4 linked regions of the Nothobranchius furzeri genome follow. The protein of the gene in region 3 binds, or shares a complex with, the protein of the main gene of each other region. Links are inferred from orthologs where the notes say so. Each region holds a gene or a part of one and is shown on either strand. Other genes may lie near its edges.

What was found.
Region 1: aar2 (region 3) and cd2bp2 share a complex: the UniProt entries of both Homo sapiens proteins name them as parts of the U5 snRNP complex. The link is inferred for Nothobranchius furzeri from reciprocal best matches to the Homo sapiens genes AAR2 and CD2BP2.
Region 2: aar2 (region 3) and snrnp40 share a complex: the UniProt entries of both Homo sapiens proteins name them as parts of the U5 snRNP complex. The link is inferred for Nothobranchius furzeri from reciprocal best matches to the Homo sapiens genes AAR2 and SNRNP40.
Region 4: aar2 (region 3) and prpf8 share a complex: the UniProt entries of both Homo sapiens proteins name them as parts of the U5 snRNP complex. The link is inferred for Nothobranchius furzeri from reciprocal best matches to the Homo sapiens genes AAR2 and PRPF8.

The regions. Positions count from the first base shown.
Region 1 is NC_091745.1:8,819,202-8,825,320, forward strand, and holds the start of cd2bp2 (CD2 antigen cytoplasmic tail-binding protein 2), read right to left. Parts: upstream 4,110-6,119; 5' UTR 4,013-4,109; intron 3,933-4,012; exon of another isoform or gene 3,719-3,932; 5' UTR 3,712-3,718; coding exon 3,637-3,711; intron 1,358-3,636; coding exon 1,228-1,357; intron 1,093-1,227; coding exon 935-1,092; intron 856-934; coding exon 300-855; intron 225-299; coding exon 139-224; intron 1-138. UniProt on the Homo sapiens protein: Involved in pre-mRNA splicing as component of the U5 snRNP complex that is involved in spliceosome assembly.
Region 2 is NC_091759.1:20,971,758-20,978,121, reverse strand, and holds snrnp40 (U5 small nuclear ribonucleoprotein 40 kDa protein), read right to left. Parts: upstream 3,655-6,364; 5' UTR 3,522-3,654; coding exon 3,411-3,521; intron 2,787-3,410; coding exon 2,657-2,786; intron 2,584-2,656; coding exon 2,490-2,583; intron 2,398-2,489; coding exon 2,232-2,397; intron 2,121-2,231; coding exon 1,998-2,120; intron 1,678-1,997; coding exon 1,557-1,677; intron 1,484-1,556; coding exon 1,401-1,483; intron 1,256-1,400; coding exon 1,194-1,255; intron 1,100-1,193; coding exon 996-1,099; intron 922-995; coding exon 872-921; 3' UTR 746-871; downstream 1-745. Other genes in the region: zcchc17 (zinc finger CCHC domain-containing protein 17), read left to right, coding at 4,590-4,728, 5,353-5,453, 5,554-5,645, 5,746-5,846, 5,934-6,076, 6,282-6,364. UniProt on the Homo sapiens protein: Required for pre-mRNA splicing as component of the activated spliceosome. Component of the U5 small nuclear ribonucleoprotein (snRNP) complex and the U4/U6-U5 tri-snRNP complex, building blocks of the spliceosome.
Region 3 is NC_091755.1:59,902,347-59,908,415, reverse strand, and holds aar2 (protein AAR2 homolog), read right to left. Parts: upstream 3,261-6,069; 5' UTR 3,064-3,260; coding exon 2,298-3,063; intron 2,208-2,297; coding exon 1,978-2,207; intron 1,548-1,977; coding exon 1,380-1,547; 3' UTR 1,159-1,379; downstream 1-1,158. UniProt on the Homo sapiens protein: Component of the U5 snRNP complex that is required for spliceosome assembly and for pre-mRNA splicing.
Region 4 is NC_091753.1:37,699,562-37,705,214, reverse strand, and holds part of prpf8 (pre-mRNA-processing-splicing factor 8), read left to right. Parts: coding exon 1-154; intron 155-1,103; coding exon 1,104-1,267; intron 1,268-1,342; coding exon 1,343-1,469; intron 1,470-1,656; coding exon 1,657-1,849; intron 1,850-1,957; coding exon 1,958-2,145; intron 2,146-2,230; coding exon 2,231-2,469; intron 2,470-2,576; coding exon 2,577-2,723; intron 2,724-2,854; coding exon 2,855-3,065; intron 3,066-3,189; coding exon 3,190-3,306; intron 3,307-3,394; coding exon 3,395-3,642; intron 3,643-3,725; coding exon 3,726-3,905; intron 3,906-4,039; coding exon 4,040-4,175; intron 4,176-4,403; coding exon 4,404-4,573; intron 4,574-4,675; coding exon 4,676-4,805; intron 4,806-4,877; coding exon 4,878-5,024; intron 5,025-5,105; coding exon 5,106-5,266; intron 5,267-5,421; coding exon 5,422-5,613; intron 5,614-5,653. UniProt on the Homo sapiens protein: Plays a role in pre-mRNA splicing as core component of precatalytic, catalytic and postcatalytic spliceosomal complexes, both of the predominant U2-type spliceosome and the minor U12-type spliceosome.

The sequences.
Region 1 (6,119 bases), on a different chromosome or scaffold from region 3:
GGAAAAGCCCGGTAAGTGTTCTGAATTCCTCACAGACACACAAGAATCTACATTCGTAATAAAAAGGAAAACCCTCTTAATCCACATCAGTTTGGAAGTTGGGCATTTAACACGTCAGAGCTAAAATAGTAGTAATACCTGCATCTGCTGGCTGGTGAATGGCCCATAGACCTCAGATTTTTCCTCATTTTCCCATTTGTATTCCCACATCACTTCATCACTCACTGAGAAGAAAAAGGGGAATCGAGGTAAGTAACCTTCTTCTGAACTTAATCATTTATAAGCATGAAGGAAAGAACCTTGGTTGTCATCCTCTTCTTTCTCACCAATCTTCTCATCAAACTTATCACCAAACATGTCAAGCTCATCTTCTTCCTCATCGTCACTTTTCGTCTGCCTCACTGCTGGCTTCTTGCTGGTCATGCTTTTCATCACGTAGGCCAGTTTTTCATAGCTCTGCTGATAGATTTCAAACATCCCAGATCCAACCAGCCTGTCAGCTAAAGCTGTGAGCCTATCCAGCTTTTCCGTGTCTCTTGAAGCTTCCTCTGTGGACTGGTTTTCTTCTCTCAGCTTTCCCTTCTTGCGCCCTCCAAGGCCTCCTAACCGACGGAGCGCCGCGGCGACCGTTTCTCCAGGCTGCAGCAGTTCAACAACAGCTTCAACAAGCTGCTGTTGAGTGTAGGCAGCCAACGGGTCCTCTGCAGGCATCTCCTCCTCCTCTTCATCCTCCTGGTTTGCCTGCTGTTCTTCCCTTCGTTTCTCTTCCTCTGCCTCATCTTCATCACCGACTCTGCGTTTCCGTTTGGCTGCAAGACCTTTCTTTTTCTTAATAGGCTGCTCTTTTATTTTCACCTGCAAGAAAACAGATACTTCACTTACTGCAAAATGCAGAGCTTCCATTAAATAATCATTTGTCTGAGAATGCAATTACCCAGTCTATGTTGTCGAGCCAGTTGTCTCTAATTTGTGTTTCCTTTTTGATGAAATAGTTTCCCTCTGAATCAAAGTGGCCTTCCTGCATCTCCTCTTCCAGGTTGAAAGGTGTAATAGAAACTCCTTCGTCAAAGTCAATAGTCGCTCCTTCTTGGCCTGGAAACAAAGGTGGCACCACCCCAATTCACCACAAAAAGCATTTAACAAAAAACATTGCTTCACACAGCCTAAGGAAAACTGGACCCAGTTTACAACTTCAAAAGTATAATGGAAATACTTAACAAGACATACCCTCCACATCATCATTGTCAAGAATATTGTATTTGCTGTTGTTTGTGTCCTCTCCATCATCCTCTTCGTCACTGTCAAGGGAGTGTTTACCCTTAAACCTGGAGCCTGGTCCACTGACAGCCTCACAGCTCTGCAATTACAGCAAAAGAAAATGATGAACTAAATACAAAATAGCAGTATAACCAGTAAACGTAGAGTCAAAAGCAAAGTTCTGATCTTTGCATTAAAAGTAAAAATGCATTGTGTCTGAAGACAAACCCCTAAACCCATGGGTCAGTGCTGCGGCACAAGTACCACTATTACTACTTTTGCTGTAAAAAACAAAGGCATTAATGTGTCACTGGTTAAACAATTTGCTGAAAGTGATAGAAAAATAGAAAACTCAAAGATATGAGTGGTTAAAAAAATAAAGAGTCTTTAGTTCAAAAGGCAAACCACTCAGAATAAATAGGAAATGTACAATATTCTGAGAATTGTGGAAAACTGAAATGGAAGATTGTTAGTTACCATTCTTGTTGCTACTAAACTGTTTCAATAAAGTCTTTATAAGACATGCCAGCAGCAAAAAGTCTAAAATAGTACAGAGATCTGATTCAACTTGTTTAAATGGTGCATTCAGCTGCTGTATGGGATTTGGCACGTTTGAGTCAGAAATATGCTAAAGCATAGTCCTGTAAGACTGAACTGTTATCCGACTCACTTCATGTTTTGATTGTATATTGTTGTAATTGTATATCTCATTTTAATACTGATATTTTACTTTCATTTTAATATTTATTTTCTGTGCAGAGGCCTTGTGCGAGTCTACTTGCTGCAACACTGAATGTAAAATGATGTAGGACAAAATAGGTTAAAATAGGTCATACTTGGAGCCTTCGAGTTGGAGGGTTTAGGATTATCCGGGGGGGTGCTCATCATAAATTTGATTAAAAGTAATCTTACTTAAGAGCTGTGAAAAAAATCATACAAGCAAAATTCTGCTCACTACCGGAAATTTCTGAAGAACGCCTGAACAGCTCCACTCCACTGCATCAAAACAATTCATCACCCATGATCACAAAAGCTTGATTGCAGTTGTTTTAATCAGGAGTCAATCATGTTTTGCTCATAGGGCCAGGTTGCTTTGAAGAGCCTTTTTCAGCCCAAGTGCCCTCCAGTTGGGGGGTAAACAAGTGTCATAGCAAAAGGCCAAGGCCCAAAAGCTAATTCTGTTGTTTGAAAATTGAATTTTGTATTAACTCGGGTTATTTTTTAACATGTTTTTGTTTAGCTGATCTGACACGTTTATGTGTAAAAAACAGCAGAAACATTAATCTGTAACCAGGCTAGTAACCACAGCACAGAATCAGATCAGATTTCAGATTTATTGGCCAAGTAAAATTACATTTACAAGGAATTTAGCTTCGGTAGATGTTCGCTCTCTAAAACATACAACAACTACAATAAATGAGAATAAAAATACATAAAAAACACATAAGAACATGTATACACACACACGTATATTTTTATATATATACATACACACACACACACACACACACACATATATATATATATATATATATATATATATATATATATATATATATATATATATATACACACACACACACATATATATATACATATATATATACATATATATATATATATATACACACACACACACACATGTATACACACACACTCACTCATATCCATAAGCATACTGAATAAGTATAAAAAACTATAATAAAAGGATGGTAAAAGAATCTACAGATTCAGGAGAGAAATGGCTGAAGGAAAGAAACTGTTCTTGTGTCTGGTAGTTTTTGTGTACAGTGATCTATAGCGTCTGCCAGATGGGAGGAGATGGAAGAGAGTAGATGCAAGATGTGTGGCATCTTGGACAATATTCACTGCCTTTTTCCTGGTCCTGCTGATGTACAGTTCCTGGACAGAGGGCAGCTGGGCACCAATTATTTTTCCTGCTGTTTTAATAATACACTGTAGTCTGCATTTGTCCATTTTTGTGGCTGACACAAACCAGACAGTGATGGATGAGCAAAGTATGGATTCGACTGCAGCAGTATATAAGATGATCTGCAGCTCTTGTGGTAGGCCACACACACACACACACAGCAATGCAATGTAAGCATCAGCTTGAGTAAACGATAAGACTTTTATAGGTAAACATGCTAAAAGTGTAAGAGATTAACTTGGTTCACGGAAGCAATTATAATACCAAGTATTTAAGTTTCTTTGTTAGTTTTATATCAGAATGTTAGACAACTGCCTTCCGGGTTTTACCAATAAATTAGTATTAATCCAAAACTATTTAAGACAAGTCAACGGCCTGGACTTAGGGCTTCCAACTAACCACTGACACCTCCACACTCAACTCTTTCTTTATAACCTTAAATGCATCACCTTCTTATTTGGACCCTCGTCTTCCAGGTCAAACTCCCCGACCCCGTCTTCAAACGTGACTTTTCTTTTCGACATGGTGACACTACAAAAGACAATAAAGTGATTCGTTTACGGTCGCCACTGAAAGCCAGCTAAACTATCAGCTGTGCGATAATTCATCGTTATGTCATTCAAAAGAAACTCGTGTTAGCTTGTTGCTACATTAGCCAAAAACAACAACACATTGCACACGCAGAACGTTGTAAACGGATCTAGAAATCTAAAATGACGGAAAGTGACGATGCACAGCTAATATAAGCTACATCAAAACAACGATTAATGAGAAGGTAAGTATAAAGAAAACATAACGATGTAACGTGGTAAGAAGGTAAACAACCTGCTGAAAATAAATCAAGCTTCGTTCGTTTTCATTTCTTTGGTTGCTCCTCGTCATGGACTGACGCATTACCGCCACCACGTGGTGAGGAGTGGGAGCTGGCGTTCAGATTTAAACTCCTGATTAAATATATTATAAATTCTAATATGTGGGTGGAACATTTGGATTTATGTTTAAAAAAAGTATAGGGATCCTAAGTCACGCCCATCTACTTCCAGTACATGGGTCCCTGGAAGAACAAAAAAATGAATGCAACTTACTAGAACAAATAAATGTGGGTCATTAGGTCTATCTTTTCTAAGACTTTGTTAGTTAAATACTTGATTTGTTATAATCAGATCTCGTTGCTCTCTCTCACAGAATCCTGGCTGCAGCAAGAGGACTATGTTAGTTTAAATGAGTCGACTCTAATTATTGACATCATCATATTGCTCAAAGTACAAGGCGAGGAGGAGGAGTAGCAACCATTTTTCATTCAGACCTATTAATCAATCCTTTACCAATTAATGGTTACAATTCTTTCGAACATTTCACTCTTAGTTTTCCTAATCCAGATTGTAAAACGGTAAAACCATTCTTGTTTGTAGTTTTGCATCATCCACCAGGCCCTTACTCTGAGTTTTTGGATCAGATCTCTGATTTTTTTTATCTGATTTGGTGCTAAATACTGATAAGGTCATTGTAGTGGGGTGGGGGATTGCAACATTCATGCTGACACTGAAAGTGATATCCTCAATGTGGCCTTTAATCAATTGATTTTACTTAAAAAATACATAACTCCACCCACTCCTGCCATCATACATTAGACCTTGTGCTGGCTTATGGCATAGAGTGTGAGGAAATAACAATATTATCACATAATCCAGTCCTCTCAGACCACTTTCTGATAACTTCTGTGTTCATTTTAGCTGAGTTCTCTGAACATGAAAGTAAATTTCACTATAGTCAATCTCTATCTGACAACGCTGTTCCATATTTACTGTCTCAGCATCTCAGAGGAACGTAGCAGAGGACAATATTTTCATTTCTAGTCCTTCACTAATTGATGGTCTAGTTCATAGTGTAGCATTAGATTATGCTGCCCCTTTAAAAAGAAGGTAATTAAGGAAGTTGGCTCCCTGGTTTAATCTTGGTCTACAAACTTTAAAACAGAACTTTAGAAAATTGGAGTGAACATGGCGCTCTACACACTGGGAGGATTCCTACTTGAAAATATAGCCTCGTGCTTTGTAAAAATAAGCAAAACTGCTTATTTGTCATTATCTTGAAAATATAGTCTCGTGCTTTGTAAAAATAAGCAGAACTGCTTATTTTTCATTGCCAATTGAGGAGAATAAGAACAATCCTAAATTTATTTTCAGTGCAGTTGCTGTTATGCACGGAGCCCCTCTGATGACATGGCCCAAAAAATAAATAAACTGTGGCCACGGAATACTATTTTGAGGCCACGAAATACTATTTTGAGACCACGAAATAGCTATAAGCCACAAATAAGTATTTCGTGGGCACGTTATAGCTATTTCGTGCCCTCAAAATAGTATTTCGTGGCCACAATTTATTTATTTTTTGGACCATGTCATCAGAGGGGCTCCGCAGTTATGGAAAAATTCTATGTTTATTAATTCTTGACCATTGACTCAATCAACTGAATGTACGGTAAAATGTATTGCTCTATGCCTCTTTGCATGCCCACTTTTTCCACACACCCACACACACACACACACACACACACACACACACACACACACACACACACACACACACACACACACACACACAAGATGCCACCACCGCAGTGGGATCGCCACATTCACTGGGAACCTCAGATGCAATAAAACAAAAATTTAAAACATGAAAAATCTTTAAAAGCCCAAAAAGACATTTTCTACCCTTCAAAGTATTCCAGATTGATGGATACTCCTCCAGATGCTCCCACGCCATCGCTGTGGCTCCGTTGACCCAGGGGCTTGTATGAAACTCCGCTGGCTGCTCTGTGGTCCTTGCTCCAGGCCAGACAGAAATGTATGCATTCCTCCATTTAGTGTCCATCTGGGCTATAGAGCTCCGGATGTCACATGACCCTCAGAGAGTAGACGCCATGTTGGCA
Region 2 (6,364 bases), on a different chromosome or scaffold from region 3:
ACTGGATCGGAGTCCACTAAACTAAAAAGACCTTTTCACCCAAATGTTTCTGTTTTACAGGGTATCTGCAGGTTTAAGGGAGCCAAATTTAAGACTTTTTAAGACCTTTTTTAAGGCCACTTTGACCAAATTTATGCTATTTTTTAAAATTAAATTTCAGTTATAATTTCCAGCTATTGCCTGGAACCGGTGCTAACCACGTCATGAACGTGGGATTAACCATCCAGTTACCATTAATGTTGCACCTCCCCATGGCGCAAGCTCCCACTAACATGCTCCTCTAAAAACAGCCCCCTTTCACAACCAACCGTATCTGTACAGTTCCGCTTACGCCAACATCATACACAAAAAATCCTGAGCTAACTAGAAATTCACCAAAATTTTATAGAAATAAAATAATCTTGTTTATTGGGTCTTTGGTAATTTAAGACCTTTGGAAACTGTATTTAAGGATTATTTGTCATTTTTAAGGATTTTTAAGGCCTTAAATTTGGAAAAGCAAATTTAAGACTTTTTAAGACTTTTTAAGGACCCGCGGATACCCTGGTTTTAGGAGTCAAAGGAGTCATTTTTGTGGGGCATTTTCCGCCATATTGCTTGAAAAGCTCCTGCTGGTGCTGGCAACCGATTCATTTCCTGTGAAGGACTTGAGACATGTGCAGGGTGTCCCCTGACTGCTGGACCTGACACCAGCTCCCTGCTCCCCTACTGAGGAATCGGTGCTTCAGATAAAAAAAATAAACTCTTTTATAGAATAATGACATTTATTCAAAAGAAATATGTAAAAAACACAAGTTTAGTCTTAACTAAAGCTTGAGAGACAGGCAGACCCCGCCCCACACACACCCACACACACACACACACACACACCTTATTGGATTTCACCCATGTACAGACGTTTATCACTGGAGCCAGACAGCACTGCAAAGACACAGAAAAGAATAAATGAGTGACTTTTTCTTGTGTTTGGTTCCGGTTCCTGTTCTGTCGCTCACCTATGGGCTCCTCTGGGTGAAACACCACCTCGTTAACAGAACCGGCGTGGCCCGGCAGCTTGTAGAGGATCCTGCGAGACGTGGTGTCCCAGATGTACACAAATCTGTAGCAGACGCACAGAGCGGGGAACAAAAGTGGCTCTCAGTGCCTTATCTTTACTCCGTTTGGGTTTAAAAAGTCACCAAAGCGTTTCTCACCGATCGGCTGATCCTGCGGCTACTTTACTGCCATCAGTGGACCAGGAGCACCTCAGCAAGTTCTGAATAAACAGGAAAAGAGGACATGAGAAGAACACAGACCCGGAGCTTTCACAGCTAAAAAGCGGTTTTCTTTAGTCCAGATATGTACGACTTCTCAGATTGACCTAGAAGTGAATTGTTCATTTGTCTGCTAGTGAAGATTACCTTTTCAAAGTTGTGAACATTACCCTGGAAAATCTTCACGCACCTCTCCTTGGGTGCAAACGGCCGCACGTCCCAAATTCGCACTGCAAAGACACGCGAGACTCTTTGAGGGATGCGATTCAAGCACAGATGAGCAGGATCAGAAGCCGAGCATACCAGTGTTGTCCATGGAGTTCGACAGAAGGTATGACCCCTCGGAGCTCAGGCTGAGCCCGGTTACAGAGTCCCCGTGTCCATGCATGTTGTAGATCAGCTTGTTCTGTCGCAGATCCCACACCTGAGCAACACAAAGCTTTCAGATCAACGACCAGGAGAGAATTTTAGGCTGGAGCCGATTTGTTGCCTTCGACATTTCACATTTTTGCAACAATCAACAAAAAATAAACTTGCGTTTGGAGTTGAAGCAAACAAAAATGTAAACAACCAAGGGCTGACAATAAATCTCACTGAACATCTTCAGTCAATCAACTTTAAAATGGCTGAAACAGAGCATCACTGCAACCATCTGCTGTTGTTAAAGGGATTAAAATGTTTAGTCTGACTTTCTTCAAGATAAACAGTTTAATGAGTCCCTTTAAGAAAAACTGTTTTTTTAACCTTGATGTCGTTGTCGATGCCTCCAGACAGGATCTGATCACTGGTGTCGTTAAACGTCACGGCCAGAACCTGGTAGGTGTTCTGAAAGGTGTGGATGGCTCCTTTTTTGCGGATGTCCCACAGCTAGAAAACAAAAAACATCAGGCTAAACAAAACGTGCAACAATGTAGGTGTGTGTGAACGGTGTGTGTTGGACCTCATTTTCACAGCAAAACACCCAGAAAACAGCCTGACCTTGATCGTCCCGTCGTCGCTTCCTGTACAGACCAGCTGAGGACCTCGGCGAGCTGGATAGCAGGTGTTAACAAAGGAGGTGTGTCCCTTCAGACGTTTGACCCTCTCACCTGTCTCGCTGTCCCACACGCCAACAGTCTTGTCCGTGCTGGCTGAAAACAACAAGCTGAACCACACAGACACCTCTGTATCACACTTCTGACTCAAGTTCCGCAATAATCCACCAGATATTAGTTGATCATATTCCACCGTCTCTACCTGCCATCTGTGTTATAATGCAGCTCCATCACCGCTCCGCTGTGACCCTTCAGGGTGGCGTAATTCTCACAGTCTCCATACACGTTCCACAACACTGCAGCATGGTAACAGAGATTTTAAAGCGGTTTTAACAAACATATGTCTGCTACTGTTTGACACAAACTTACATATGAGTCTGTCGAATCCTGAAGAGGCCAACACAGCTCCATTGGGGTGAAACTTGCAGCAGTAGACCTCCCCCTCATGGCCAGACATCAACATGATGGGAGCCTGCATGCTGGAGGTGCGTGGATGGCCCTATGGGGATCAGTGATTTAGGTTTGCAGCATTATGGTGCAGAAACAACAAGTGGTACTTTACTTTAAATGCATACGAGCTGGATGACTTGCTGAGATCTAGCAAAGAGAGTGAAGTAAATGCTCCCTTTAATCATGTAGGAGCTGGAAGTAGATCCTAATTGCACCAGTGGCAATTACAATCTGGTGTTTCCTTAAGCTTGCATTATGATAAAAGGTGATATCTGTGTATATATATTTTACCTTTGATGCACAAGTGAACTCTGATCATCTTGACAGTTTATTTATTTATTATATATGCTTTGTTATTTGAATCAAATATTAAAAAGGAAGGCTGTTTTAATAATAAATATTGTTACCAATAAAATACATAATTACAATAACCAACACGCTCTTGAAAATAGTTTTTTTGCATATTGAATTCTATTGTCAACTATTCTGATGTTTACATTAATCATGAAAACGTGACTAAATCTGCTTACATGGTCCGGTTAATGAATACATAAGTCCCCGGCTAGCATAGCTTGCCCTTTTCTCAAACTTAAAAACATAACTACTATAAAGGTGGTAAGTATGATTTAATCTTGAATGTAAACGCAGTCGGATGTCACCAGGGCTACGTTACCGTGGCCACGAGCTGCTGAGACTGAGCCGCCGCTACTAGCTCCATCCGTGGCCGCTTCAGCGCAGTGGGAACCATCGCCATGTCTCCGGGTCTCTTTAGAGGTTCAATCATTGCGGGGAAAGTTAACAAAAAGCGGCTAAATAGAGTAAATGCAAAGCTAAAACTTAGTAAAATTAACGGACGTCTTCGACGAAAGACGTCTGAGGAAACAAAACCACCAAAGAAGACAGACACTGAAGTACTTCCGGGTTCAAAGCTCGTGATTGGTGGAAATTTGCGCAGGCTGCAGTGATTGGCTGATTTTCTTCCTGGCGTCAATTTGACCTGGAAGTATAACTAGCACAGTTTAGTCGGTGGAAAAGGTATTGCAATTATTTTTATTTCTTAAGAGTTAGAGTCACATTACGCAAAATATATTAATTATAGCACAATTGTCTGGTTTACTAATGTATCATAGAGCAGTTTAACAGGAATAGGTTAGAGGGTTTTATGTAAACACCAATGCTCGTGTTGCGTTTATCCTGTTCATGTTTCCAGAGATATTGTCTCCTATAGTTTTTACTCCGCTCGAATTAATGTAATGGAAAGTGAAGTTTGAGGTAAGATAAATCCATGTTTTGAAAATTAAAACTGATTTACAATATTAATAATTCTATTTGTTCGTTTTTGAGATTAGCCTAGTTTCTTTAAATCTGACAGCTGCAATTTTTGTCTGTGTTCTTTGTTTTTATTTATTTTTTTGTGTTTGGTTCTCAGTCTGTTTCACATGTATGGAGTGTTAGAAAATATGCAGTTACCGTTTAAATAAAATTTAGACCATGGCTGGTCTTTTTAGTCTAGTTTTAATATTATTAAACTGGGTTATTTGAGCTTAATTCTTAATGAAAACGAAGAAAAAACATTTTAATTGAAGGATAACTTCAACTGAACTTGATTTATTGCCTACTCCTGACTTGTGAAAACATAATAGTTGTCGTAGAAAGTAGTTTTATGGATTTTTATTTAATAATTTTTATTCACAATATAAATACTTAAATTTATTCTGTTACTTTGTAAAAGGAACAATATTGCTTTTATTTTGGGTTTCTTTAACTTTTCCTCGTCTTTCGTCTTTTATCTGTGTTGTGTTATTGAATTGAAATATATTTAATCCTCCAACTGTTTGCCCAGATTGAGACGATGTCCAACCGTGACCGCTCGAGTCGAGAACCAGCCGGGCTGGATGGTCTGCCTCCGATGTACAGCATCGCCAAGGGAGAGGTGGTTTCAGTGCAAACATATGGAGCTTTTGTTCGACTGCCTGGTTACAGGAAGGAAGGTTGGTAGAAGGCTGAGAGCTTGTAATCTTTAAAAATGAAATACCAGTATTAGTAATATTAACCAGCTGAGTGAAGTGAGTCCTTTAAAGCAGTAATGGATCTGTAAAAAGAAAAATAGGAGATATTAGATGACTACAGCTAACTTTATATTTTTTATTTAAAAAAAACGTTTTCATTTAATACCATATATTATAATTTTAGTAGCAGATGCAGCACTGGGAAGCATCAACGGCTAAAATAGGAAGAAGTTTGTCCCAAACTTTTTATACTTCATTATCTCTGATGATAAATTCTAATTTTAGTGGTTGCCCTAAAATATTTTGCCACTAGATGGAAAAAAGATAAAAGGTTTGGGTTCTAATTTGAGTATTTATTATCAAAATATAGGTGCTTTTTATGTATTATTCAGGTCTTAATATTAAGTTAAATTAAATTTAAGGAAATGTTTAGATCTCAGATCATCTAAACAAGAATCTATTTGTGTTTCAGGTCATTTTGGCTCAACTGTTTTTGTCTGAAATCCATTGAGGCACACTAAAAATCCTCTCTCTTTCTTTGCTCTCTCTCTCTCTCTCTCTCTCACACACACACACACACACACACACACACACACACACACACAGGTTTGGTACATGTGAGCGAGATGTCTGCCTCTAGGGTTGAAAGTGCCTCAGAGATTGTGGATGTTGGGGAACAGGTGTGGATTAAAGTCATCGGACGGGAGGTAACGCGCACACACACACACACACACACGCGCACACACACACACACACATGCTTACTTTGAATCTGCAGCAAATAAAAATTCTGCCCTCTGACTCTCAGATTCAGGGTGAGAAGGTGAAGTTGTCCTTCTCAATGAAAGCTGTCAATCAAGGGACAGGGAGGGACCTGGACCCCAACAATGTTCAAGCGGAGTGAGTGTCTACATTTGTGTATGAGTGTGTGTTTTTAACAGACCTGTTATAGTCGTGTGTGTGTGTGTGTGTGTGTGTGTGTGTGTGTGTGTGTTTGCAGGCAGGATGCAAGGCGGCGAAGGCAGTTTAGAGATCAGGGCAGCAACAGGATCACACTGGAGGCCGTACTCAACACCACATGTTCAAAATGTGGCTGCAAAGGTACTAAACTACAGATGAAAACAGATTTCACTTCAAAACATATTTTATTTACTTAAGGTTTGCGTATTAACTCTTTACGTCTTTCAGGCCACTTTACTAAGGACTGTTTCTCGGCTCCGGGGTTGCAGTACGCCCTCGTTCCTGAAGAGGACGACGAAGAGCCGCTGAGGCAGCAGACGTCGGCAGCAGCACCTCAGCAAGATTCAGAGAAAAAGAAAAAGAAGAAGAAGGTGATTACAAACCAACTTGGCACGCTCTCATGTGTCCTCGCATGTCCGTGGTTTCAGGAGAAGATGTTTAGAAAAGCCAAACTTTGATTTTTCTGCTGATTTATTAGAATAATGGTGACGTAGTTTAAGGTAGTGAAACCGTTTCTCTGATACCTGTGCAGTCACAAAGATGGGTTTTTTGTGTGTGTGTTTTTTTGTGCTGCAGGAAAAGAAAATGAAGAAGAAGAAGACAAAGAGAGAGAGGAAAGAGTCGGAGAGCGACGGCAGCAGCAGCAGCGGCGGGGACGG
Region 3 (6,069 bases):
CCCTTCCCTGTGTTGTGCCGATGTGTTTCCACCACGTGTTCCAAGCCATTCTCTCCATCTGATTGTTTTCAAAAGGGAAATAAAAACCAGGGACAGGCTGGGTTCACAAGACCACAAAATCAGAAATGCCGGGCATTAATTTGGGGGTGGGGTCACCAGTTACATTACTATCTGTTTCACAACAGCATCTGACTTCTGGGTAGAGGATGCATTTCTTGTTGTGACATTTGGATCTTCACCCACAGGAACAAACCATCCATTCACATTAGCTGCATTAAACGGCTTTTGTCCTTTTCACTGCAGCTCAGTGGTTTAAAACTGACTCATTGAACTTTAACGTCAACCAGGAGATCTGATTGGGAGTAAAAAAAAAGTTCAGGAGGGATAGGGGCTGAGTTGAAATGTGTGAAGTGATGAGACTGGACAAGATTTGTCCAATCAGATATTGGCAGGGGGACACAGAGAGATAGATCTGTGTTTGTTATCCAGATCCAGTCAGTGCATAACACACATCTTCTTAATTATCAGCTTATATGAAAAAAAAAAAGTATTTGATAGGTTTGAGGTTTGAAAACCTGGTAGGATCTTGAGGTGTTCCTGCTTTTATAAACAGAACCTTTATTGTGTGGTTTTTGAAAACCGACTAAACTAAAAGGAGCTCATAGTGAAAACCAGTCCTCCAGTTCCCCCTAGTGGACATGTTAAACATTCATGATAATTAAAAGAGGCTGACATTCATCCATCCATTTGCAGCCGCTTATCCAGAGTCAGGTCACGGGTCAGGTCAGCCTAAGCCGAGGCCCAGACTTCCTTCTCCCCAGCCACTTGGGCCAGCTACTCTAAGGGAACCCTAAGGCAGTGCCTGGCCAGCTGACGCAGTCCCTCCAGCGTGTCCTGGGTCTTCTCCAGGTTGGATGTGTCTGGAAAGCCCCTCACTAGGGAGACGTTCAGGGGCAACCTGACCACATGGTTGCTTTATATAAATATGTTCCCACTTTCCTGTTGGACAATAGTGCTTTATTTTGAAACAAATGTTACGCATATGATGTCTTGCATGTTTAGATTTGTTCATAGATTCATGAACTACTGTTCAAAACTTTCCAATAATGTGGTAGAATGTAAATGTTCTTTTGAAACAACTATACAAATAAAACAAAATAAATTGTTACTGACTTTATTTAATATAAAAACCACCAGACCTCAGATCAAACCTCTCCTCTCTCTGACTACATCACTACAGATGATTCGTGAACATATTATCTTCTCCTTATGAAAAGACAAACAATAGAAGACATGTTGGAACCACACAGAACAACCGTGGCAGTGTGCTGCTGTAGAACCGGTATGAGGCCAAGAGGAGAAACTGCACGATGGGAGAATTAGTCCACTGTGACGCCTTCAGGCAGCTCCACCACTACAGGTGCACAGTCGTCCAAATCTGCATCGAAATCCCAACGAAACTTCTTGGTTAGGTGGGTTTTGAACTTCTCTGCCTTCTTTTGTAGGATCCCATCCACACCAGGTCCAGTGGCAAACTGGAAAAAATCCTGCAAGATAAAAAGTCGATTTAATAATCCCCAATGAAGAACACCAGTTTGAGATCAAATAGAAACAAAATATGGGACCCTAATTCTTGCTCTAGTAGATTTTCCATCTTGTAGCTGCTTAAAAATCATTTTGAAAGAAGAAAAAAAAATTGAAGACAGATTTTAAATGAAAATATTACTTAAAGACCTCGTTGAAAGGATTCATGTCCCCTGCTACCTTTTATAGTTTTAAATGAAGGCTGGAAATGCTGGAAAATGATGGATATCCGGTCTGAAATGTACAAGTTGTTTGTTACATTTATAAACAATTTAGGGTCACAAGAAATAAAAACATGATGTTTGTGCCTCTAGTGACAGCTCTTTTCTGATTCAGAAACATTTTGAATATTTCCCTAACATTGTGCGTGCAGCTGTTGCACATCTGCTGTACCTGCAGCGTGCTGGTGAGGAAGTTGTTCTGTGACACAATGTCAACAAAGAAGTCAGGAGGGACTTCTCCGAGCTGGTGGTAGAGCACAGTGATGAGTCCCAGATAGAGCTCCTTCCTCCTCCTCATGGCCTCCTCCGAGCGGCACAGCAGAGCCAGGAGGCTCTTCCAGTGCTCAAAGCCCTCGTACACATTCCCAATCAAGAAACACACAAAAGCAAACTGCAGCTCACCTGGAAGAGATTTGAGATTCAGATATTTAGTTGCATAGGCATTAGGCAGTTGCATTCTTGTAACAGTGCATTAATCTTTGTGACACAAACCAAGCAAGTTTAGAGGCTGGTTCTCGTATTTCTTCTCCAGAACCCCCTCCAGGGCATAGCTCAAGTCCATGCTGCATTTCGTGATCTCAGCTGGAGTAGCCCCAGGAGGGTAGGTCTTTTTGGGAATAACTGAAAAGCGCAGTTCAGTCCCTTCTCTGTGCTTCATTTTGGGAAGCCTGTCCAGTCCCTCTTTCATGCTCTGGCAGGCCGTGTCGTTCCTCGGCTGCTCTGCCCTGTCTTTTGTGTGTCTGAACTGAAGCTCGGGGACGACATCACTGAAGGCGCAGATTCGACCCGTCAGAGGCTGTAAGTCACTGGCCAGCTTCTCGCTGATGTGATCGGTGAGAGACACCCACTTCCTCATGACCTCATAGGGATAAGGGCCCAAGAAGGGATCCAGCTCCCGCAAAGTCCCCCGGATCCTGTTCACTTCCTCTTCATTCCTGGAGGCTGAGAAATCCAGATCTTCTTCTTTGGGATCCCAGTTGGCCAGGAGAATTTCTCTTGGTTTCAGGGTGAGGAAAAGACCCGTTTTAGGACCGATTTCTCCACCACAGCTTGGCGAGTTTACAGAGCAGTAATGGAGGAAGTGTAAACCAGGGGGGATCATCTTAACACCACGAAACCGAGGACCAACCTGCCAGCTTTTGCAGTCAATCCCAAGCTCGGTGCCCTGAGGAACACCCAGCAGAACCAAAGTAGCTCCTTCTTCAAATAACGACCAAGCAACATCTGGATCCATGTTCGAAGAGCTGCTGCTGGCCATCTTTGTTTACTACTAATCTACAAACTATATTTACTGAGAAACATGCGTAAATTCTCTCAGGTGCTACGTGAGCTGTTCATCATTCAAGTGTTTCCGTATTTGAACGCGAATGCTAATTTTAGGGTTTTAAAGTATCTTATTTAAGCAGCGAAGATTATCAATAAAGTAAAAAAAACTAATTACATTTCGAAAAACCCCATTTTACGGTCTACGCGTCCACTTATAAAAACAAACTGTACCTACAGTTACACTAGTGGACGTTCCAAACAACAACGCTGCTATTTCGTTTGCCGGAAATCTGTGTAACAAAATAAATGCTCAGGGTGGAAACAGTGTCTCATTAGAACAGTTCCGCTCTTTTGCACAACTTGGCCTCCAAGTTTTTCTTAATATATCTTTTTAGAAATTTAGGTTTGGGAAAATGAAGCAATAAAAAGATTTTAAAGCAGATTTTTTTCGCAGTGGCAGAATTGATGCTGTAATCGCTTTTGCTATGTAAAAAGCCCAACAATGAGCAAAACTCGCTAAAATAAATTTATAAGACTGTTTAAAAACTATTTATTTTATGTACTCAGGATTAACATTTTCCATTGCAGTACATTTATTTTACATTGCCCTTTAAATTAGTAAGATTATATTCTGGCAAAATTTCATTATAAAATGTTTTACTTATTATTATTGTCAATATTTATGTTGGACTGTTCTATGCAATACCCATTGGAAGGAGTGATTGTGAACAAGACTGATTTGGAAATGTCGAAAATATTTCAATTGGGTTTTTAGCTTAATAAAAAAGACAGCTAGAGGCTGCGAGTTCCTCTCTTGTTAACTCAGACATGTCATGTTTTGTAATAATTTACAGGAAGTGTTTGCGCTAATTAAATTTTTGTGATTGCTCTTTCTAGTCCTCCATCATCCCCAATAAGACAAAAATGGGATGTTTTTCATAATAATAATAATAATAATAATAATAATAATGATGATGATGATGATGATAATGATAATGCAAAAAAGTTTTTTTTAATTGAACTAGACTGTAGTTCATCTCTGTGCCACCAGAGGGCATTAATGTCCCATCTCCTCTTCTCTTTTAAAAGCACCAGTTCCTTTGAATTATTAAAAAAATAATTTGCAATGGCCTTTTGGAATTATCAAAGGTGGGACTCTCTAAATACTAACTAACATTAAGAAGAGAATAATATAAATTATTTTTGTTGTTTTCTTAATATTTTTATGAAGAAAATCTGACATTGAATTCACAGGATAACACACAGAGACACATTTACGTTTGACTCACAAACACATCACATGAGACTTTGAAATGTGCATAATGCTGAATATTTGCATTTAGCTTATTTGTGGTTACAATGAAACTATAACAACATAACAAGGAGCAATGCTAACAAATGCAGAAAGAGCAAGAACACTAATGAGAACTTAACATTCATGTTTATTATCAGCTATCTTTGCAAAAAGGGTCATATCACGGTGCTGTGAATATACTTAAACTGGTGTTTTTGTGAGAAGTTACCAGTCACACCAGACCCTACTTAGATTTGTAGCTGCTCTGAAGTTTTTGCCAACAAGTAATCAGTAATTTGATTATGTTGATGAATAATTTCCTCTTCCTCTTCTTTCCTTGTATTTTCCGAACAGTTGAGCAAGAAGTTGTCTCTGTCTTAAAGAATGCAAGAAGAAACATAAGGCTTGCATTGTCAGTCATTGAAATTAAAGACTATAAACCTGAATTATTAAAGTAATTTTGCTACCAAATAAGTAGGATTGCAGTTTTGAAGGATGAGCTGCTCCATGCTCTCAACTGGCTTCTCCAGATCAGATGTCTGCTTCCCACTCCTCTGACACCTTATCTGCTGCGTCAGACCATAGATGGACACCAGGATGTGACCGACCTGCCAAAAGAAGGAAAAAAATAAAGTTGAGAATCTTAAACAAGTTTTATATTTAACAATGTTGAGGAAGATTTTAATATTTCCTTAAATGTCCTGCACTTGACAGACCTCTAATATGAGATTATCAGTACGTGTGAAGTACCCTCTCCATGGTGCTGAACCTGAAGGACGTACTGGGTCACATAACATAACAACATCAAAGACTTATTTGTAAGAATGTCTGTAAACAGTATTTTTAATAACAGCAGAAAGTTGGAAGATTAATAAATTGAACTGAATTTTATAGATATGATTTAGGTGCAGCCAAGGTGTTGGGGGGGGGGTCCATTTTTTGTGGCCTAAGGATTGAGTCTCTGCTTTTTTTTCAGATGATGTGGTCCTGTTGGCTTCATCAGAACGTGATCTCCAGCTCTCACTGGAGCGCTTCCCAGACGAGTGTGAAGCAGCTGGGATGAGAATCAGCTCCTCTAAATCCAAGACAATGGTCTTGAGTCGGAAAATGGTAGAATGCCTTCTCCAGGTCAGGGACGAGATCCTGCCCCAAGTGGAGGAGTTTAAGTATCTCAGGGTCTTGTTCACAAGTGAGGGAAAGATGGAGTGCGAGATCGATAGGCGGATTTGTGCTGCGCCTGCAGTGATCCGTGATGTGGGCGTTGTACCGGTCTGTCATGGTGAAGAGAGAGCTCAGCCAGAAGATGAAGCTCTCAAATTACCAGTCGACCTACGTTCCTACCCTCAACTATGGTCAGAAGTTTTGGGTAGTGATCGAATGAATGAGATTGTGGATACAAGCGGACAAAATTAGTTTTCTCTGCAGGGTGGCTAGATAGGGTGAGAAGCTGGTCATCCGGGAGGGGCTCGGATCCGCTGCTCCTCCACATTAAGAGGAGCCATTTGAGGTAGCTCAGGCATGGTCAAGACGCCTCCCTTAGGATTCCCCCAGAGGAGTTGGCTCCAAGTTGCTGGAGAGAGAGAAGTCTGGGCCTCTCTGCTTTTGTTACTCTCCTCACGATGAGATGAAAATGGATGGATGGATTAACTGAACCTCAGATATCATTTGAGAAACATTGGTCTCTTTGTGTATTCTTTTGTGGAA
Region 4 (5,653 bases), on a different chromosome or scaffold from region 3:
CAAAGCCGACTGGTGGACAAACACGGCTCACTACAATCGTGAGCGAATTCGCCGTGGAGCCACTGTGGACAAGACTGTGTGCAAGAAGAACCTGGGCAGACTGACCCGTCTGTACCTGAAAGCTGAGCAGGAGAGGCAGCACAACTATCTGAAGGTAACAGCAGATTTTATATTTTGTTACAGATCTCATCTGTACTCTATATTTACGTGTTGTTCTGCAACGTGAAACAGTAAAATGACCTAAAACAAAACCAAAGCTTTTATTTTGAAGTCCTCTCACAAAGGCACACTTGCATTGGTCAGCTTGACTGTGTGTAACAACCAGAGGAATGAGATGAATGGTCAGGTCAAGTTTATTATATAGCCCATTTCATACTCAACGGTAGCCCAATGTGCTTCACATAGTTAAAACAATCACAGCTTTAAATGTCACATCATGTTATGCATAATAAAACCAAGGAGTACTGATACAGGACATAGTACACAAAAATAAAAGCATACCAAGTAAAAATTTTACTAAAACTTATAAAAGAACAAAGCTGCACAGACTAGTTATAAATACCAAAAACATAGAATAAATTTAACAACACAGGTTAAAAAAAAAAATAAACCAAGTAGACCACAGATAGGTTAATGGAAGGCATCATAAAAAAGTTTGGTTTTTAATCTGGATTTAAAAATGGAAGTGGTGGGAGAGGTTTTTATGTCTTTATGGAAGACGGTTCCAGAGACGGACCACATAGCAGCTAAAGGCAGACTCTCCGTGCTTGGTGCGAGCTCTGGGTTGTACCAATAGGTATTTTTCTGCTGACCTAAGTGATTTAGAAGGGCAGTACTTTTCAAACATCTGCTATATACAGCGGTCCTTGGCTATTTAATGATTTAAAAGCAAGTAAAAGGACTTTAAAAATCAATCCTGTAAGTTACTGGTAGCCAATGCAAAGATTTTAGGATTGGTGTGATGTGATCATTTCTTGGTGTTTCTGTTACTGCTGGCTGTAGCTGCAGTTGGCCCCTCGCTGTTCGGACACTGGTGCATTCAGGTCTAATTAACCCAATCACTGATGTTGTATCTCTCTGAAGTGTGTGTTTTCTACTTCCAGGATGGTCCCTACATCACAGCAGAAGAGGCCGTGGCCATCTACACCACCACGGTGCACTGGCTGGAGAGCCGGCGGTTCTCCCCCATTCCCTTCCCTCCTCTGTCCTACAAACACGACACCAAGCTGTTGATCCTGGCCCTGGAGAGGCTCAAGGAGGCCTACAGGTGGAGATGTTTAGAACATTGTCAGCTTTGATGTTTGTCCAGTATTTATGTAACTGACGTCCTTGTGTCTTTTAGTGTGAAGTCTCGTCTGAACCAGAGTCAGAGGGAAGAACTGGGTCTGATCGAGCAGGCCTATGACAACCCCCACGAGGCGCTTTCCAGGATAAAACGTCATTTACTCACTCAGAGAGCGTTCAAGGAGGTCAGCTTAAATCAGTGCAGATGTTTGGAGAGTTTGATGTTTCAGCTTTAAAGTACAAAACCATAGAAATGTTCCTCTAAACATTTAAAATTCCTCAGATCATTTTTTATAATCAGAAGTGAATTGACTTTTTTCACCTTCCATGTTTGAGTTTTCTATCAGTGTTGAGATATTTTCTTCTCCGCAGGTTGGTATTGAGTTCATGGACCTGTACAGCCACCTGGTGCCCGTGTACGACGTGGAACCTTTGGAGAAGATCACCGACGCCTACCTGGACCAGTACCTGTGGTACGAAGCAGACAAGAGACGTCTTTTCCCTCCGTGGATCAAACCTGCCGACACAGAACCGCCACCGCTGCTGGTCTACAAGTGGTGCCAGGGTAACGCCCCCCAATAAAAATGCACTTCATTACACTTAATCATTCAAGTAAAATTAATGGTTAGGAAAGGTCTCCAGTTTTCAGGAGTTCATGTTTGTTTATTTTCAGGCATCAACAACTTGCAGGATGTGTGGGAAACAGCGGAGGGAGAGTGCAACGTGATGCTAGAGTCTCGCTTTGAGAAGATGTACGAGAAGATCGATCTAACGTTGCTCAACAGGCTGCTCCGTCTCATTGTTGACCACAACATTGCTGATTACATGACGGCCAAGAACAACGTGGTGATAAACTACAAGGTGATCAGGGTTTACTCTTCTAGAACATGATGCTGCAGGGTTTTATCTGGTCCTGATGTGCTGTTGTGTCTCGTCCTGTGCGTAGGACATGAACCACACCAACTCCTACGGCATCATCAGGGGGCTCCAGTTTGCTTCGTTCATCGTTCAGTATTACGGTCTGGTGATGGACCTGCTGGTGCTCGGCTTGCACCGCGCCAGTGAGATGGCCGGTCCGCCTCAGATGCCCAACGACTTCCTCAGTTTCCAAGACACGCCCACAGAGTCTGCCCATCCCATCAGGCTGTACTGTCGTTACATCGACCGCGTACACATCTTCTTCAGGTGGGCACCAGAATTAGAAGAGGATGTTATATTTTATTTATTTATTTTTTACTTTTATTTTGCTCGACCAGAGAGTTTCAGAAAGTCAAAACTGTTTAATTCTTCAGGTTCTCTGCTGATGAAGCCAGAGATCTAATTCAGCGTTACCTGACAGAGCATCCAGATCCCAACAATGAGAACATAGTGGGCTACAACAACAAGAAGTGCTGGCCGCGGGACGCCCGCATGAGGCTGATGAAGCATGATGTCAATCTGTGAGTTTTTACTAAGTATTTATATTTGCAACCAGTAATTTGTTCACTTGGTGCCATCGTTTGCTAACAGTTTGAATTATTAAGGGAAATCCCTTCTGAGTTTAAAACGAGTGTATTAATCATTTCCCCAGTGGGCGAGCCGTGTTCTGGGACATCAAAAACCGCCTCCCAAGATCTGTGACCACGGTCCAGTGGGAGAACAGCTTTGTGTCGGTCTACAGCAAAGACAACCCCAACCTGCTCTTCAATATGTGCGGCTTTGAGTGTCGCATCCTCCCCAAGTGTCGCACCAGCTACGAAGAGTTCACTCACAAAGATGGAGTCTGGAACCTGCAGAATGAGGTAAGAGTGAAGTGGCAGAGACCTAAGTGTGTGGACGTGACTTCTGTGACAAATAATCGATCATAAATGCAAATGGCAGTTTATCTTTTTATTAATCTGAAGTTCCTTGTTTGTTCTGGTGCAGATAACTAAAGAGAGGACAGCGCAGTGCTTCCTGCGTGTGGATGATGAATCGATGCAGCGGTTCCACAACAGAGTGCGTCAGATCCTGATGGCTTCTGGATCCACCACTTTCACCAAGGTTAGAGGAAGCCTTTATTCTCACAACTTGCAGATGCAGAACGGTGAAGAACAGTCTGGTAAATCTGAGTGTTTTGTTTTTATTCTAGATTGTAAACAAGTGGAACACCGCTCTGATCGGCCTGATGACGTACTTCCGTGAGGCTGTGGTCAACACACAGGAGCTCCTGGATCTGTTGGTGAAGTGTGAGAACAAGATTCAGACACGTATCAAGATCGGCCTCAACTCCAAGATGCCCAGTCGTTTCCCTCCTGTCGTCTTCTACACCCCCAAAGAACTGGGAGGTCTCGGCATGCTGTCCATGGGTCACGTACTCATCCCGCAGTCGGACCTGCGGTGAGTCCCACACAGCTCTGCGTCTCTGAATACAGTAAAAATTCCTGAACATATCGGCTTAATGATTCTGCTCCTTTCTCCAGGTGGTCCAAGCAGACAGATGTGGGCATCACCCACTTCAGGTCTGGAATGAGCCACGAGGAAGACCAGCTCATTCCTAACTTGTATCGTTACATCCAGCCGTGGGAGAGTGAGTTCATCGACTCTCAGAGAGTCTGGGCAGAGTACGCCCTCAAGAGGCAGGAGGCCATCGCCCAGAACAGGTACCCCTAAATCAGATCGGCCTGATGAAGCAAAAAGCATCTTCAGCAGATTTTGTTATTTTGAGCTACTAGTCTACGTATCTAAGGAACTTTTATTGTGATTAGTCTTAGTGGTTTATTTTTGTTTGTTTCAGGCGTCTCACCCTGGAGGATCTGGAGGACTCGTGGGACAGAGGAATTCCCCGGATCAACACCCTTTTCCAGAAGGACAGACACACTCTGGCCTATGACAAAGGCTGGAGAGTCAGGACTGATTTCAAACAGTATCAGGTATGAGGAACGGGGTGTGTTGGTGAATTCAAAAGGAACGTTTTGGTTAAATGGTTTAAATATTTATAAGGTTTTGTCATTTTAGGGTGTTTTTAAGCAGATTCAATTCATGCTCCTCAATACCAGATCATTGTGAATTTTATGCTAACGTACATAAAACATTAAAAATGTTGACGTTATTGTGAGAAAACAAGTGTAATCCTGGTCATGCTTTGGTCTTGCCTGCAGGTGCTGAAGCAGAATCCATTCTGGTGGACTCACCAGAGACATGATGGGAAACTGTGGAACCTGAACAACTACCGCACAGACATGATCCAAGCTCTGGGTGGTGTGGAGGGCATCCTGGAACACACGCTCTTCAAAGGCACCTACTTCCCCACCTGGGAGGGTCTCTTCTGGTGAGGCTGCGTTAAAGAGAATCTACGTGAAATGGTCGTTTTTTTGTTTTCTGTTATTTTGTACCGTTTTTGATTTTTTATTATTATTTCTCTGGCGATTAGGGAAAAGGCCAGTGGCTTTGAAGAGTCCATGAAATGGAAGAAGCTGACCAACGCTCAGAGGTCTGGTCTCAACCAGATCCCCAACCGTCGCTTCACTCTCTGGTGGTCGCCCACCATCAACCGGGCCAACGTTAGTATAAACATCAGCAGTTGGAACAATCATTTAAGAACCATTTACAGAATATTTTCCCTTCCTCTGCAGGTGTATGTGGGTTTCCAGGTACAGCTTGACTTGACGGGAATCTTCATGCACGGCAAGATTCCCACTCTGAAGATCTCCCTCATTCAGATCTTCAGGGCTCACCTGTGGCAGAAGATCCATGAGAGCATCGTCATGGATCTCTGTCAGGTAGGCTCTGATCCATAAACTCGCACGGAGAGAGTCGTGTGTTCCGATAGATTGGGTAAATGTTATGTTTCTGGTTGGCAGGTGTTTGACCAGGAGCTGGATGCTTTGGAGATTGAGACGGTGCAGAAGGAGACCATCCATCCCAGAAAGTCCTACAAGATGAACTCGTCCTGTGCAGACATCCTCCTCTTTGCGTCATACAAGTGGAACGTCTCCCGACCGTCTCTGCTCGCCGACTCAAAGTAGGACATTTAAAATGTTTGTCTCTGAGACTGTTGTTACAGAAAAGATGTTAAGGTTAGAAATGACACTAATACAGTTTGTTCACACGTTAGTTTACATGTGAAGATGGTTTTGTCTAATTTTGTGTGAAATAAAAGCATACCTCCTCTCTCAGGGATGTGATGGACAGCACCACCACACAGAAATACTGGATTGATATCCAGCTCCGATGGGGAGACTACGACTCTCATGACATTGAGCGCTACGCCAGAGCCAAATTCCTGGACTACACCACGGACAACATGAGTATCTACCCCTCTCCCACTGGAGTGCTCATCGCTATCGACCTGGCTTACAACCTTCACAGGTGTGGCTTGTTTTCATCAGTTAAGTTTGTATTATTAGGG